Linked DNA regions of Struthio camelus. The protein of the gene in region 2 purifies or fractionates together with the protein of the main gene of each other region. This does not show direct contact. Links are inferred from orthologs where the notes say so. Each region holds a gene or a part of one and is shown on either strand. Other genes may lie near its edges.

Evidence for each region.
Region 1: the proteins of GAPDH (region 2) and SIAH1 purify together in Homo sapiens (affinity purification with western blotting; 4 studies listed by BioGRID). This does not show direct contact. The link is inferred for Struthio camelus from reciprocal best matches to the Homo sapiens genes GAPDH and SIAH1.

Annotation. Positions count from the first base shown.
Region 1 is NC_090951.1:15,989,414-15,997,529, forward strand, and holds the start of SIAH1 (E3 ubiquitin-protein ligase SIAH1), read right to left. Parts: upstream 3,268-8,116; 5' UTR 3,249-3,267; intron 1-3,248. UniProt on the Homo sapiens protein: E3 ubiquitin-protein ligase that mediates ubiquitination and subsequent proteasomal degradation of target proteins.
Region 2 is NC_090942.1:90,956,882-90,964,142, forward strand, and holds the start of GAPDH (glyceraldehyde-3-phosphate dehydrogenase), read right to left. Parts: upstream 3,009-7,261; 5' UTR 2,819-3,008; intron 2,564-2,818; 5' UTR 2,540-2,563; coding exon 2,517-2,539; intron 1,885-2,516; coding exon 1,785-1,884; intron 1,471-1,784; coding exon 1,364-1,470; intron 1,277-1,363; coding exon 1,186-1,276; intron 999-1,185; coding exon 883-998; intron 767-882; coding exon 685-766; intron 469-684; coding exon 317-468; intron 187-316; coding exon 108-186; intron 1-107. UniProt on the Homo sapiens protein: Has both glyceraldehyde-3-phosphate dehydrogenase and nitrosylase activities, thereby playing a role in glycolysis and nuclear functions, respectively.

The DNA.
Region 1 (8,116 bases), on a different chromosome or scaffold from region 2:
ACCCTGCTTCCTTAAAAATTCATGGAGAGAATGCTAATGGAAGAAAATCCTAGTTTGTTCAAAAAATAGAAGCTCTAGAACATGGGGATTTCTTACAAGAAACTATTCCTGCTGCTAGCCATCCTACATGTTTAGAAATTTTGGACTACAGTTAGAGGAAGCTACTGCCACAGCAATACAATCAATCTTCTCTGTATGTATCCTAAACTGTACTGTTTGCGGACCAGTTGCAAATATATAGACTCCAGTAGAATTTCAACAGAGATTAATCTGTCCCTTTAGTCATCATATTATAGACAATGATTTTCATAATCAATAAATTTCATCAGTGAGCTTCCAATAAATGGCCCTTAGAAGTGTTTTTCTTTCTCTCTTGAAAGCTTTATTCCACTATTCAGATTTCAACAACTTCTCCTTAGCTAGCAAGTCCATTAAAGAAACTAATTTAAGCCATGGCCACTTCTAACTTTTTCTTCCATTTTCACTGATGTTTACCATAACCTCCCTGCTTTTCTCCCATTTTTATTGCCATCTTCCTAACTGCTGTATAACAAATAGACATTGAAAAAGCAAAAGGGTATCTGGGGTTGCTACCAAGGAGAAAGTACCCCCTGGGAATGAAAAGCAACCCATGGCTGCTGCATCTGCTGATTCTAATGGAAACTAATTTAATCTAGTTAGAGGATAGACACGGGGGTTATTAGTGCCAGAGGCCTTCTAAAATATATACATGTTTACCATAAATCCTCATAAACTATTTTAGATTTCACTTTCATCTTTGCAGCTTTCTAGTTTTGTGACTTTGTTGTAACATGGCACTTAATGAAACCACTACAAAATCCTTTTACTATGTAAAACTTTTATCAGCAGGATTTTATACAGTACAGCCTGGGTACCGTCACAGTCAAGAACTGGGTAGCAGGGGAGGGCATCTGCTTACATCAGTAGTGCTGAGTGAATGCATCCTCTCAGCAACTTATATAAGCTTGCATGTAACAACATTGAAAATACTATCCCAAAGCCTGCTCACCCCAAAGAGAAAGACAGTGAAACGACTCATTCATATCCTAGAAAGGAAAAAATCTCTACCAAATTCATCAATACAAGTTAAACTGGGAGGTTATAAATTACAATCTCTTGTGCTTGATGGAAGGAAAAAAAAAAACAAGTAAAAAGTGAATATTGCCCCTAAAATTCTTAGTCCAGCTGAGGAACTTTTCTAAGCCACTACCGGTTCATTATTTTGTCACCTTAATTTTTGAACCGCGCTTATGAAGACACTGAAATTTAACTATTCTGAGCTGTCTTAAGCACGTTAAAAACACTGTACAAACTAACTGCAGCCAACAACCTTAAGAACTGTTGATTTCTTTGCCTTTTGGATCACCTGGTATATACGTTTTCGGTGTACTAGCAGAGATTAACTTAGACAAGCACTGTAACTATGCGCTATTACCCATACAGACAAGATCCCCTAAAAGTTACAAGGCTAATGTGAAAACGTCATTTACAGTTTTAGAGATGTGACGGATATTATTTCCTACATCAAAAGGACTATATTCTCTACAACACAACTTATCAGTAACGTATGCATTATAGTGTGTTTGCAATCTGCCAAAGTTCGTTCAGGCAGGCATAATTTGTGAGTATCCTTTCTAATACGTCTCCTTTTGAACTTCTCTAACACATATGGTACCAATCTTCTGTATTCTCAAATACCCTGAATTCAGTGAAGTTACAAGAAAAGCAGAACAGGACCTGGACTCCTGGGTTTCTGTTCCTAAGAGGAGATTCTGCATGTCCTGGGGGAAGATGGAATAGTTGCTGCACTTCCCCAATTGCAATTTTCCCTTGTCTTCACATGTGCACAAAAATAAGATTGGTATGTTTGTTTCCCTTCCCTCCCTGTACCTGCAAGAGGACTAGGAAAAATTCAGCTCTTCATGATTGCAGCTCATGGAGTAATCCTACTGAACCAAGACATTTGAATGGTGATGGACGATTTCTCATCCTTTTGATGCCACATTTGAGACAACGTACAGGGAAAAGCTGTGACGTTAGCCACGAGCAAGTCCTGTGGCTAACATACATACACACAGTCCAGATGCAAGTGGCTCCGTTTCTTTGGTGCAAGACTGAATTTAATTCTTTCCCCTATACAATTCCCAACTGACCATCTCTCCAGATTACATGACACAAGTATATAAGGTGAAAATGTCTTATGTCAATTGGACTTTCAGAGATATTGATCATCTTTACATACTTCTATTTGATCATTTGTCCCTTCATATAGGTAAAGTTGTCATAGTATAAAGTCCAATTTTACACCAGGCTAAGTTACACAGGTAAGTTCTTCTTCTATTAACCACAGTCATGCCTAGAAATTGTAATCACGTGCCAGGACTGCAGTACGCTAGCTGCTAAACAAACATAAACCTAAAAGGATAGTCCCTGCCCCACAGAGCTTATTACATAAGGTGGGAGAGAGCAAGGAGGATATAGACAAAAGAAAGCAGCAAGACAATAAAAATTAGCAGTATAGAAAGTAGTTATAGTACACTGACATCCTGATATTTATCCTCTATTTTGTAGGCATAGGAAAAACAAACCACCAAACAAGCAAAAGGTTTACTGGGATTTGAATGAAAGAGACAGAGAGAACTTTGCAGATGTTCAAATGTGCAAAATCTCTTCTGAAGTATGAAAAGAAGTATAGGAAAATATGAATATTCTAACTGGGTAGTTAGCAAAAAGGCATGGAGCCTACTGTGTCAAGGTCATTGGAGGAAGGATTTAATGACTCAGTACCATTCAGAGGTGATGGACAGTAAGGAGAGGCTGTGAGTGGATTTAAGAAGGAAGATGGTTTGTTGGATACAGTAAGCAAATCAGAACCATTAGAGAGGGATCAAATTCTCAAACTTACTGCCTAGATAAAAAGAAATCTTCTCAGCAAGGTAGATATCAGGAGAAAAGAGTACCAGAATTTTTTCACTTACTGTGAAACATGGATATATAGTCTTAGAAATACAGCATTTTTCTGGCTGATATTACTGTATCCATTCAGCGATGAATTACAGTACTGAGAACCAACTCTCAAAATGTGGTTTTGGAAAGCATTTCACATTCACCAACTACATGTTTAAACGGAAGAATCCCCTGGCATCACCACTGGCTTGCATACAGATTCACTTATGCACACTCCATATTTCATGAGGTGCCCACATCAGCCATATAACATTACTCACCAGAGGAGTCTTGCTGATTTTTCTCCACTGTTTTTTAGCAAGACAAAGCTTCAGTTTCCTCTGGGGTATACCGTTTCCTCTTCGCATCCCAGGGCACAGAAGAGCAGCTGCTGCCTTTCCTTATATTCCTCTGCTGGCTATAGGGAGTGATTTTCATGCTTGGTGTGTAAGACTTTCATTAGAAGAAATCCATTTTAGGCAGAAGATCTGTTCCTGGCTTGGGAAAAAGTTAGGTTATTTCTTTTGTTACATCTCCGGCCTCACGAAGCAACTGTATTAGGTCTTTTCAGTTTGCTGAAAATCTACGCTGAGTTTCATCTTCTGCAGAGCTTCATATGTTTATGCTTCTGTAACGGAGTTACATATATTAACTTACATAGGACTGATTCCAGATTGTAAAACGCCTTGGAATTCCCACAACATTAGAACGGTGCGAATGGCAGGAAACAGTCTTACCCCATTGGTGTTATAGGAACACGGCCCTCTATGGTCTCTGCAGCAGACTCACACAGAGATTTGGAGGTCAAGCATGACTAACTGAGCTATAGCCAAATGGCTCTTCAGGCTAACTCACACCTTGCATTTAAGAGCTGTAGGTATTTCTGTCCATCTGAGAAGGCTGCAGGGGTGAAGGGGAAGCTATGTAGGATGCAGAGTATTCACAGAAAGTTAGATGGAGAGAACAGAAACTGCTGTCATAAGTCTTCTGTACATATGTGTCAATGTTCTGAGCTATAATTCATAGAAAACCTCCCATCAATTTCAATGGTTTGCAGAGAGAGTCTAAACTATTAAGCTATTTTACAGTTTTCATCAGTAGTTTTGTGCATCAATTCTGTTTGATCTCCATCAGTACAGATGTAATTTGTCAGGCATCAGATCTTCAGGAAGCTCCCCAGGTACTTGTTGATAGTCCTCATAAAAAGTTCGGGTTTATTATACTCCTCTACTAAAACATGTGCAGAAGAACTGCCTTAAATCATCTGCATTTTCAGAAGAAATTTCTAACAAAGCCTATGTTACAGTCTCCAAGCCTTTAGCGATTTCAGCCTAATGGACAGACTAATTGCTCAAGTCTTTGAATCTCTCAATTGGAAAGAGATTGCTACCTGTAATTTTATTTATTAACTGTGCACCTAACTTTAGTTCTCTGTAGGAATTAAGTAAAGGATAACAAAAGGAACATCATCTCATAAAAGCAATACATTTAAGCGGCTAGGAATTAACACCCACAGTTATGGCATAATCCATCGTACTTGCTTCTCTTATCTTCTACATATAACTGAGAAGCCTGCCTGGATAAAATGCAAACAAAGAGAACTTGTGAGAACAGCTAGGACCACTGATGCATATATCTGGATACGTGCAGCAGGAAATTAAAATCAACATTGGCATCCAGGTTCTCACTTTACCCTGCTGACCTTCATATGGGGATTTTGTCGGCAAGTTCCAATTTGGTGAATAGAATTTAAGAGTCTACACAATGAAAAGGGATCTTCTATGTTGGAATGAGACGTACAGGATAGATCATATATGCTTTCTATATTCCAAGACTTCTGTTCAAGAAGCTGCAAATCCATATTAGATTATTCACTTGAGAAACGAAGAATGGTGGTAGCATCTGTATATCTTGCACTTGCCTAGAGCATAATTTAAACAGGAAAGATGATATTCTTTTCAAAAACACAACTGAAGAACTTATAAATGATTAAATAACAAGGTTTTGGACTTCATATAACCTGAACATGGTCTCCTTTCCAGTCGCCACAATCTAATTTCATCCACGGTAAGATCTGAAATAATTTAATTACTGGAGATGTAAAATATACTACACAACTGTAAATTAATCTTGAGGGAGGGAGGGAATGTTTTCATGTGGCTCACACGGGAAGAATGGGGTTATGATAAATACAATCACTACCTACTCTATTGAACACTGCTTTCCAGTTTAACAGATCCAGAGTTTTCCGGCTACAGCACTTCCAGCCCCTACCAATGGAACAGCTCACAATACGAATCAGTTACTTCTTCGGTAACAACTCAGTGATGTTACAAAGAACATGCTCATCACATGAATAAATTCCTCTCATGCACGATAGCCATAATATAAATCTTCAAATGCAAGTCAATTTTTAATGCAGAGGAACAAAAAGATATACCTTCTAGGCTTTCAAGGGAACATGGATGCAGTATCCAACAGGACAAACCACTTTTTGAACATTATATTACTCACTACTGTCTTATTTTAACTCTCCGCATTGATTTGCTATAATCATCATCCTTCTCACTTTGTCACTAGTCTAGTTACACAATGAAAATACATTCTGTAATTAATATATTGCTCTATTGGGGAAATTTATGAAATTGCCAATATTAGTACTGTAATTTATAGTACAGGAAAATGTCTACAAGTGAACATTATCAGCCCACTCGTCATCAAAATCTCTGAATCACACCTCATAATTCTGATTTTCCCCTAAAATACACCTTGCATTGCTTCAATACTTTTTTTAGTATTTCAAGAAAAGGAGGTGTCAAGGGCTCAAAAATGTAAACCAATACAGATTTAAGTATGTCATGCAAAAGCACCTCATCTCAGCATCACGCAAAGCAGATATATTCAGCTATGGTAAGATACAGATTACTTTTTCCCCATTATTCCTAATAGAAAGCATGAGTGACTGTTTAAACAAAATACAACCATATCAAATGCATATTTTTTCATTTGTTATATGTCAAACTGAGGAATATTTAAACCACTTTTTTTTTTTTTTTTTTAAGAGAAAAGATATTTTCCTCTTAATGTGTAATTTAACCTTGACATAATCTGGGAAACTAACCAAAACAAAAGGACTAAATAGTTTTATTTATACAGTGATTCGCTGCCAACAAGGGTTGGATACAATAGCCAGAAGTCAAGTTCCAGTCTTCTGAGTGAAATCCACAATAGAAAGCAATATCATCATTTCACATTTTCTGGAAATAGTCTGACTTTTTTGCTACTCGTTTGTCAGCTCTCCATCAAGCTTCTACCACACCATAATGACCTGTTAGCTACCACAGATTATTCATTACTTAATAAGGTCTTACAGTGTAAGGTCCTGCATTATTTGGCTTTATATATTTGAAGCCTCATTAGCAAAGTTAACATCACTAGTGAAAGACTTAGTCCTGGAAAGACTTAGTCCATTGGAAAGAAAGACTGAGCTGTTATACCATGTAGTAATTTCACAAGTTGTATTAGATACACCATTTAAAGTACTTCCACACTAGTATAGCTATGTTTACATTACGTCTTTTGTCAGTATTAAAAGAAAGTATAATTAACATGCACCCACTCTATGAGCAGTAAAACCAATGAAGTTTGGCTTCCTGATTGGAATCTGAGCACCTGGGGCATCTGACCACTTACTCTCATGAATATAGTAAAGAAAAAAATGTCCATCAAAGCCTCCACCACTTTGGTAGAAACTGGACAGTGGTGTGAAAGTTCACAGAGCTACAACTTGAAAAGGAGCTGAAAGAGGACAGAATCTCTTAAACCTAATTTCACTAGAAAACAAAGCAAAGTAAATATGAAATCTCAATCTAGACTACTGTACCATCAAAATATTATGGTGTGAGTCAGGATTTAAAAAGGACAACCATATTTATAAATATACATGCTAGAAAACATTTAATAATAATAATTTAACAAGTATGAACACAGTATTATTAAAAAAAACAATGAGGAAATAGAATATGTTAACATTCTTTTCAGTATTCTGGAATATTTGAAGTATTTTATTAACACATAAAGTGCTCCTTAAGAAAATATATTTAATATATTCTGGTCATATCACCAACTGCAAACACCTGTGTAACACGTGATTCACACAAGATAAAAATAGTAGAGATCTATAAAAATGCTTGTTCTACCTTTAGCATACTATACTTCTACAGTCCTGCACAGAAAGTTTAAAGCCTAGAATTTACTTAGATTAATTTTTCAGAGATGCCACGAGATCCTAAAAGGACCTTCAGATGTTGTCAAAACTCCCTTAATTTATCTTGAAATGTATAAGCCAACTCACCTTCAATTGCTGCTAAATATTTTCCACCATTCTTCTCCTGCTGGCATTACACTCTCTTCCTAAAACCAGAGCTTAGCATGCTGCAGGCATTAAACTTATTTTGACCTATGCTTGGGGCCAGAAGAAGTGAATACATGTTCTATTTTAATTTCTTCAGAGTCAGCTTTCGAAAAAGGTCAGCATGCAGATACTGGGGTCAAAGCCCATTGACACAGATAATAACGTTACTTTGGTGGACAGGGATGGAAGTTCATACAGGAAGTTTCTATCCTAGTTTACTTATCAGTGGAAGGTCATACACAGCAGAAGTCCCTACGACTGCTTCAGTTGAACCTAACAAATGAGCCGATTAAAAGTTAGTGGAACGATATCTAATTTCTTCCTCTACACTACTTTCAAGAGCAGGATGAGCATCGTGTGGTAACACAGAGATGCCGATGCTACGGATGTTGAGATCACCTTTCTGCAAGCATGGCCCCCAGCCCACACTGCACCCTGCTTTGAGCTCAAGTCTATCCCAGGACAGGCCTAGGCCAAGTCACAGCAAAAATTATGGCAGTCCCACTTCCCGTCTCGTCTGAATGGATTACAATATATGCAATTCACTTTCAGAACCTTACAATTTCTACTTCAGTCACACTCTTCCTCCTTGGCATATGTTTCAAGGAATATCAGTAAAGTATGTTTAAAAGAAGAGTTATTTATATGGTGCCTAATAAGTGGTATATAACTTTGTATAGAGTTATATACCATATGATCAGTCTCTGTAATACCATATATTTCTAAGGCATATAT
Region 2 (7,261 bases):
AGAGTGTGGGAGGAAGACACAGATGTAGAGGGGGCAATTCTAGATAAGAGGAATTTGGAGGAAGCAGGAGCAGGTTTGGAGGTTAAGGCCTTCCCCACAACACTCACTGGTTTTTCCAGACGGCAGGTCAGGTCCACAACAGAGACATTTGGGGTTGGCACACGGAAAGCCATTCCAGTAAGTTTCCTGTCAGAGAGGTAAGAGTCAGAACAGCAGTCAGCACCCCTCTGCCAGCCTTCTATTCCGCTAGGAATGGGCCAGAGCCAGCCAGGCACTGTCTACCTCCTTCCGACACCTGAGAAGGGCTGACACTCACCCATTGAGCTCAGGGATGACCTTTCCTACAGCCTTAGCAGCCCCAGTGGATGCTGGGATAATGTTCTGGGCAGCACCTCTGCCATCCCTCCACTGCTTCCCAGAGGGGCCATCCACTGTCTTCTGTGTGGCTGTGATGGCATGGACAGTGGTCTTGGGGAAGAGAGCACAGGAATAAGAACACAGCCAATAACTTTCAAAAAACATCCTGAATGCTTAACTCCCCATCCCAAGGAACACAGGGAGGCTAGCCCTCTTACTGTGTGAGTTTACACCCCTCACAAACACAGAGCCCGTGGACAGTTACTTCTCTTCTCACATGAAGAAACGTGGGGATAGGACACACTAAGCAGCAGGCTTTAGACCTACCATAAGACCCTCCACGATGCCAAAGTTGTCATGGATGACCTTGGCCAAGGGCGCCAAGCAGTTGGTGGTGCAAGAGGCATTGCTGAGGAAAAGAGAAAGACACACATCAACCAGAGGCAGTATACCTACCCATGAAAGATGAGACCCCATGCAGCTGGTGAAAGTTCCAGGCCAGAGAGCATCCTCTTCTCTCCTTACCTGACAATTTTCAGCGACTTGTCATACTTGTCATGATTGACACCCATCACAAACATGGGAGCATCAGCTGAGGGGGCAGAGATGATAACACGCTTAGCGCCACCCTTCAGGTGAGCCTGTGAGAAGAGAAGGAGATCAGTTAACCCAGAATACCCCAACAGCTTGGAGAGCAAGATACTTCCTCAGACACCCTCTTCTCCCTCCCAGCCATCTCCTCCACATCTTGAACTCTGTACATGGTGATGTGCCCCACAGGTAGGAGCAGCAAGCGTCCTTTCTCCCACATGCCACTGGCCTACTCACGCTAGCCTTCTCTGTAGTGGTGAAGACACCAGTGGACTCCACAACGTATTCAGCACCAGCTTCTCCCCACTTGATGTTGCTGGGGTCACGCCTGAGGAGGGACAAAATCATAAGAGTTGCTCTGTGAGAGATCTGTTTTCACCCTTCCAAGGGATGAGAGGGAGAAAGAGATACTTACTCCTGGAAGATGGTGATGGGGTTCCCATTAATCACAAGTTTCCCATTCTCAGCCTTGACAGTGCCCCGGAAGTGACCATGAGTAGAGTCATATTTGAACATGTAAACCTAGCAAGGAGAGAGAAGGGGGCGGGGGGGGGGGGGGGAAGAGGTCAGGCACCCTAGCTGCAACCCCCCATCCCTTGCTCTTGCAATCACAGATCCCAGAGTTCTCCAGTGAGCTGATCCAACTGCTGCTCTGTACTCGGCTCCACCAAATCTGCTGGGCCCACAACCCTACGCTTTGTCTCTCTCATTCCACCCACAGCCCCACACCTGACATCCATGGGGAGCTGCCAGAACAGAGCTAGGGGAGTCCACTGCCCCACTGCAAGAGGCAAACTGCATAGAAGGCCTGGAGGAGACACCACGAGGCAACTCACCATGTAGTTCAGATCAATGAAGGGATCGTTGATGGCCACCACTTGAACTTTGCCAGAGAGGATGGCAGCCCTGGTGACCAGGCGGCCAATGCGGCCAAATCTGGGGAGAGAGATGCACAGATAAGTAGGAGGAGCAAGGAGCCTGGCTGGCTGGGCAAGGCAGGGCATAACAGTCCATGGCTTTCCCTCTGGGACATCGGCTGCTCCCTGCCCAGAGGGGCAGAAGGGAGCCCATCAGCTGCGTTCAAAGGCCAAGGAGCCCCAATTGAAGATTAAGAGCGACCCCTGCTTGGGGCAGCCGCGCAGGAAAGGTCAGGCGCTAAATTTACTGCAGGATCCGGTTACTCCTCACAGCACGGTGGGAGAAGGTCACATTCCCCAGGGCCCCCGGGGCTCCTGCGACACACGATCTCCCTGGCATCCTTCCGACGGGGGTCACCAGCCCGGCCCCGAGCGGTGGCACCCGGCAGGGCCGGGCAGGACAAGGCAAGGCGAGCCGGGCCGCGGGCGCTCGCCGCGCAGGGTGACTCAGCCCGACTCGGCCGGGGGGGAAAAGGGGGAAGTGACTCAGTGCCCCGCCCTCGCCGGGGCCGCTACCCCAGGGGGGACGAGTTGCCCCGCGGCGCGGCGCGCAACGGCTCATCCGCGCGTCCTTGGCGCCACCTTGCGCCTCCCCCGCGCCCGCCCACCCGCCCGCTCCTCTCCCCTCCCCCCCCAACCCCGCACACTCACCCGTTGATTCCGACTTTCACCATCTCGCCTCTCAGGGATGTTGGTGCCTGCGGGGAGAGAGCGGCGCTGAGAGGCGCGCAGAGCGGGGCGATCCGCCCCGGGGGAAGGGAATCTTCCCCCCCCCCCCCCCGCCATCTTGCCGCCTTTGTGCCCGGGGGCGCCCAGCCGCCATGCGCCCCCCCCCCCAAAGCTTCCCTGCTCCCGCCCCACGGCAGCGCAGCCCCCCCCCCACCCAGAAACAGGACTGCCCGCCCGCCCGCCGCCTTTCCGTCTCCCCCCCTCCCATCCCCCAGCCCCCTTACCTGCCGCCTCCGACCCGGCCCTGACGGACAGTGAGAAGGTGGCGCCGCGCCGCGCCGCCGCTTTTTATAGCGGCGGAGGGGAAATGGCGGGTCCCGCCCCGTCGGGCCGGCGCCGAATGGGAGTGCGGGGGCCGGGCCGGGCTACGTGCGCTGGGGGGCTGCGGCAGCGGCGGCGCCCCCCTCCCCCCCCACCGGGCCGCGGGCAAAGGTCCCCCCAGAGGGGCCCCCGCCGCCCCCTCGGGGCCCGGGGCTGCGCTGCGCTGGGGGGGTGCAGCGCTCCTCGGGGGAGGGAGGATTGCAGTGGGGTGGGGGGGGACCGCAGTGCTCTGCCCCTTGCCAGCGCTGAGGGGCCTCTGCGCTGTGCGATGTTGGGGCGGGGGGAGGGAGGCCAGGGCATGGCTGGCCCCAGGGGGAAGCGGGGCTGTCGGGGTGCGTGGGTTGCGCTCAGCGCCGCACACCTGAGCTGGGGGGCCCGGCACCCCCCTGGCAGGGCGCGCGCGGCCCCTCCGGCTGCCGCCTGCCCGAGCCCCGCGGCTTGCGAAGGGAGGCCACGCGGCCGCAGCCCCCCGTTCGGGGAGGTTAGGAAGGAGCCTGGTGTCGGGCTCCGGCCTCTCGCTAGCCGGGGGCTGCTTCTGCCAGGCGCGTGTGCGGCCACGCGTGCCTTGCTGGGCCTTGCCCAGCCGCCGCGCGACATGGTGGGCGCCGCTTTCCTTGGCGGCCCGGCAACAAGGGGGGAGGCCACAGCGTGCGCCGCTCTCTGCACCCCTTTGGCCCCCCCGGCCCCGGTGGGGGCGGGAAGGGCTGCACTGTTGCCGGGGCCATCCCGAGGGCGCAGCAGGTTGCCCAGCCCAGCCCCCCTCTTCCCCACATGTCGCTGGGGGGAAGCGGGGCCGTGCTGCCCTTGGCCTGCTGCTCTCGGGGGGGGGGGGCTGCTGTTTTGCCCCCGCTCTTGCCAGGGCCCCGAGCTGCCCCACGCTGCGCTAGCCAGGCGCGCTGTGAGCGCGCCTGCTGACCCAGCCTCCCCCCGGCCGCCGGCCAAGGCCTCGACATGCTGCGCCGAGCGGCGTGAGCACCATGTTAATGAGGAACCGGGGAGGCTGCTACTCGCGGGACGTGACTGCGGAAATCCTGCCTACCACCCCGCGCTGCCGGCTCGCATCCACGCTGTCGGGGCGCGTTCATTGGCTGGGGGCAGGCCAGGGCCTGGGCCGGGCGCCGGTGAGGAGAGAGTGCTCCTCGCATGATGGCCGTCCCTGCCCTGCATGCCTGCCGGCTGCTCCGGGGCAAGGCCGGGATCCCGCCGGCTCTGCGCTGAGACCTAGAGCATGTCTCAAAGCGGCTGTTCCCTGGGGAGGGAGCTCTGAGCATGCACGCGCCCGGCTTAGGCATGCAGGGAGAGGAGCGCGTGGGAATACGGGAGATGTGCAGCTGGGCCCGGATAGGGCAAGGCAGAGGGATGAAACCTTCCCCCGTTGTAGCTCGGCTGGCCAGGGCTTTAGGGTCAGCCGAGTGGGATCCCTGAGGATGGGAAGGACGGAGCGGGCTCGGGGAGCAAAGCAGATACCGGGGGGGGGGGGGTCTGGAGATGGGTCACCCAGCTCAGACGTAATCCAACGCTCCTTATCCTGCTGCTATTCCCGGTGCTGCCAAGGGGCAGGCAGCTAAGTTTAGCCCCAGCTGAGGTTACGACATTTTCTTAAAGGCCATGTGGGATGGCTCATGTGCTGCAGCGATGCAGCTGGAGGTTGCAGGGAGCCCAAAGGATCCCGTGCCTCATTCGAGGCATCGCAAATGTAGCCTGGGAAGGGCCAGAAGAGGGGTCAGGGTAACTTTTGGGGGCTGCCTTAAATTTCTGCCCAAATAGGAGGCCCACTGTTTGCTCAGCAAACATGGGTGCCGCCGAGTACTCTGTGCAGGGGGACAGAGTGCAGGTGGGATGAGCCAACGCAGCAGCTCCCAGCCCCGTGCCCCTGAGCCTGGCCGGCAACCGGGATTTCAAGGCTCCACCCTAGCTGCTTGGAGCCCGTGCTGGAAGGCAGACGGGCACCTGGCGGCCCTGGCTGCAGGGCCTGCAGGGGCAGCCGGGGGCTGAGCTCAGCTCCTGGCTGCTGGAGAGGATGGGTGTGGTACGGGTAGCTTGGCTTGGGAGAGCGGGCGGCTGCACTTCCAGCCATCTCCTACTTGCTGAATTAGGCTGAATCTGTGCACGTGGGCTTGGCAGGGGGCGCGAAAAGTGCCTAGTCATAACGGCAGGGTTTCAGTAAGGCTGTGTCTTTGCAGCCCTTTGCAGCTCTCCTTTGCAGGAAGGAGAGGCAGAAGAGGCATCTCAGACTCAGGGCTCACTGAGGTTAGCCGGAGTGATGGGAGCCGCCTGGCCGTTATATAACTGCTAGGCCCCAAGGGGACAGCCACGGGGTCGCTCACGGCACTGGCAGGCTGGAGGCGCAGGGCTGAGAAATGGCTCCCTCGGCCTGCGGTTTGCTAGCCCCCAGGGATCAGCAGCATGCACCCAAAATGGCCCCGCAGCACGTGGGGGCTGCGCCACCACTGCCACCACCGGGCCGGGGGCTGCGCCAGGTCTCGGGCTCTGCCGCCACCTCCCGGCAGCCGGCGGGTGCCAGGGCGGCGGGGAAAGGCATCGTCCCTGGCCTGCCTCTCGCTTGTCCACAAACCGGAGGCCTGACAACAGCCGAGGTCGCTGCTGCGGAGGTGGTGCTGCTGTGGGGTTTGGGCAAATGCTGCAGAGTCTGGACGAGACAAACAAACAATACAGCTCTTTTTAATTAGCAAGTCAGTTCTTAAGCACAAATGGCAGGAGAGAGAACAGCCAAGGCCTGTGAGCCCCTGCCAGCTGGGCAGCGGGACCTGCTAGCCGAGCAGAGAGGGGGGCGGCACACGCCTGGGAGGGGTCCTGGGGCTCCAGGCGGTAGCAGAGCTGGACAACCCCTGTGCTCAGCCCGCTTTGCACCACTTCATAACTTCCCTGCTGCAGCGGTCCTTCAGCCAGCAGCCTAGGGCAGGGGTTTTAGGGCTTCAGCGGTGGGCATGCCATGCTCATCCCCATTTTGTCCCAAGCAGGTTCTCCAGACGCTTCAGTCTCCTGTGCCTGTGCAAAAGCAATGCCTGTGAGCCTCGTGGCAGCGTGCAACCCACCTGCTCCCCGTTCACCACCCAGACTCCGAGGGCTGGTAGCCCAGAGGTCACTACTCTCATGTAGTAGCAGCCAAGCTCTCTGACTTTGGCCCACCAGCAGTCAGGCGGTGTCCCGCTGTGCCCCATCAGCCCCTGGGTTCAGCTTGCTTCCCTGTTGCCCAGGTCCCCCTGTTCCTGGTTCTCCCTATGGTTTATGTTCTGGAGTCCCCCCTTGCTTCTCTGCTGCCCTCGCTGCTGTCTCTCTCACCTCAGAGTTTCTCCAAGGCTAACACCCCAAACCACTGAAGGTCCCAATCCGGTCCATTTTCAGTCCAAAGCAGCCCCTGGGCATGGCCTTCCAGGCCCAATCTCCAGCCAGTGCCCACTTGCGATTGGCCAGGGTCTTGCGCCAGAGCGGGAGTCGGGCAGTTCTGGCCCCAGATGGGAGGAAAGGGAGGGTGGAGGAGAGCAACGGAGGTCCAAAGCTGGACCCTTCCTTCATGTCCTCTTCAGCCAGCATGGATTCAGAGTCCAGGGGCAGCAACTGGGAAAGAAACATCTGGGAAGGTGGGATAAACAGAGAGGAGGCAAGGGTGAGAATGGTATTGCCTGTGCTCCTGTGTCTCATTTCTCTCTCCTGGTGATAACCCAATGTGCCCAAAGCCTGCTGTCCTGCTGCCCCAAATCTTCCCTAGGATGCAGGCAGGACTTAAATGGTGTCTGTACACGAGGCATTGTGTTTGTGACGTATTCAGGCATGGGGATCCCCAAGGGAAGGGCTAGACCAGCTACTCCTACGGTCTGCAATGATTTCTCTGTCCGAAGTAGGAAGCTGGTTTAGGCCTCTGTGTGCGAGTTGCTTGCCTTGCTGTTGTCAGACAGGTCCCCCTGTACTTGGAAAGTAATTTGAGTCTTCAGTCCTTGGTCTTCTTGCTGATGCTGAGCTGCTGTTTATTCTTCCATGTGCTCAGACTGTTTTCTGGCCCTTTGTTTTCCCAGAGGGCTGGGGGGGGGGGGTGGGGGTGAATGGATCTACCCGAAATACCTGGTGCTAAAGAGGGGCAGGAATGGCAGTGTCGCAGGAGCAGGTGTGAAGAAGGGGGCTCCTCATCCACTGGGGAGTCTTTAGCCTTTCTGGGCAGGTGGAGATGTGCTGATTATAGCCCTCAATCACTGCTGGCGGCCTTTGGCTGCTGAGAGGCAAAGGTCAGGAGGTGCGCTGGGCCCAGAGGCGCTAATGACCCAGTATCTGGCAGTATTGCGCAGGGAAGCAGCCTGCAGTAGCCGTTCCATATCTGTTCCCCGCATGGA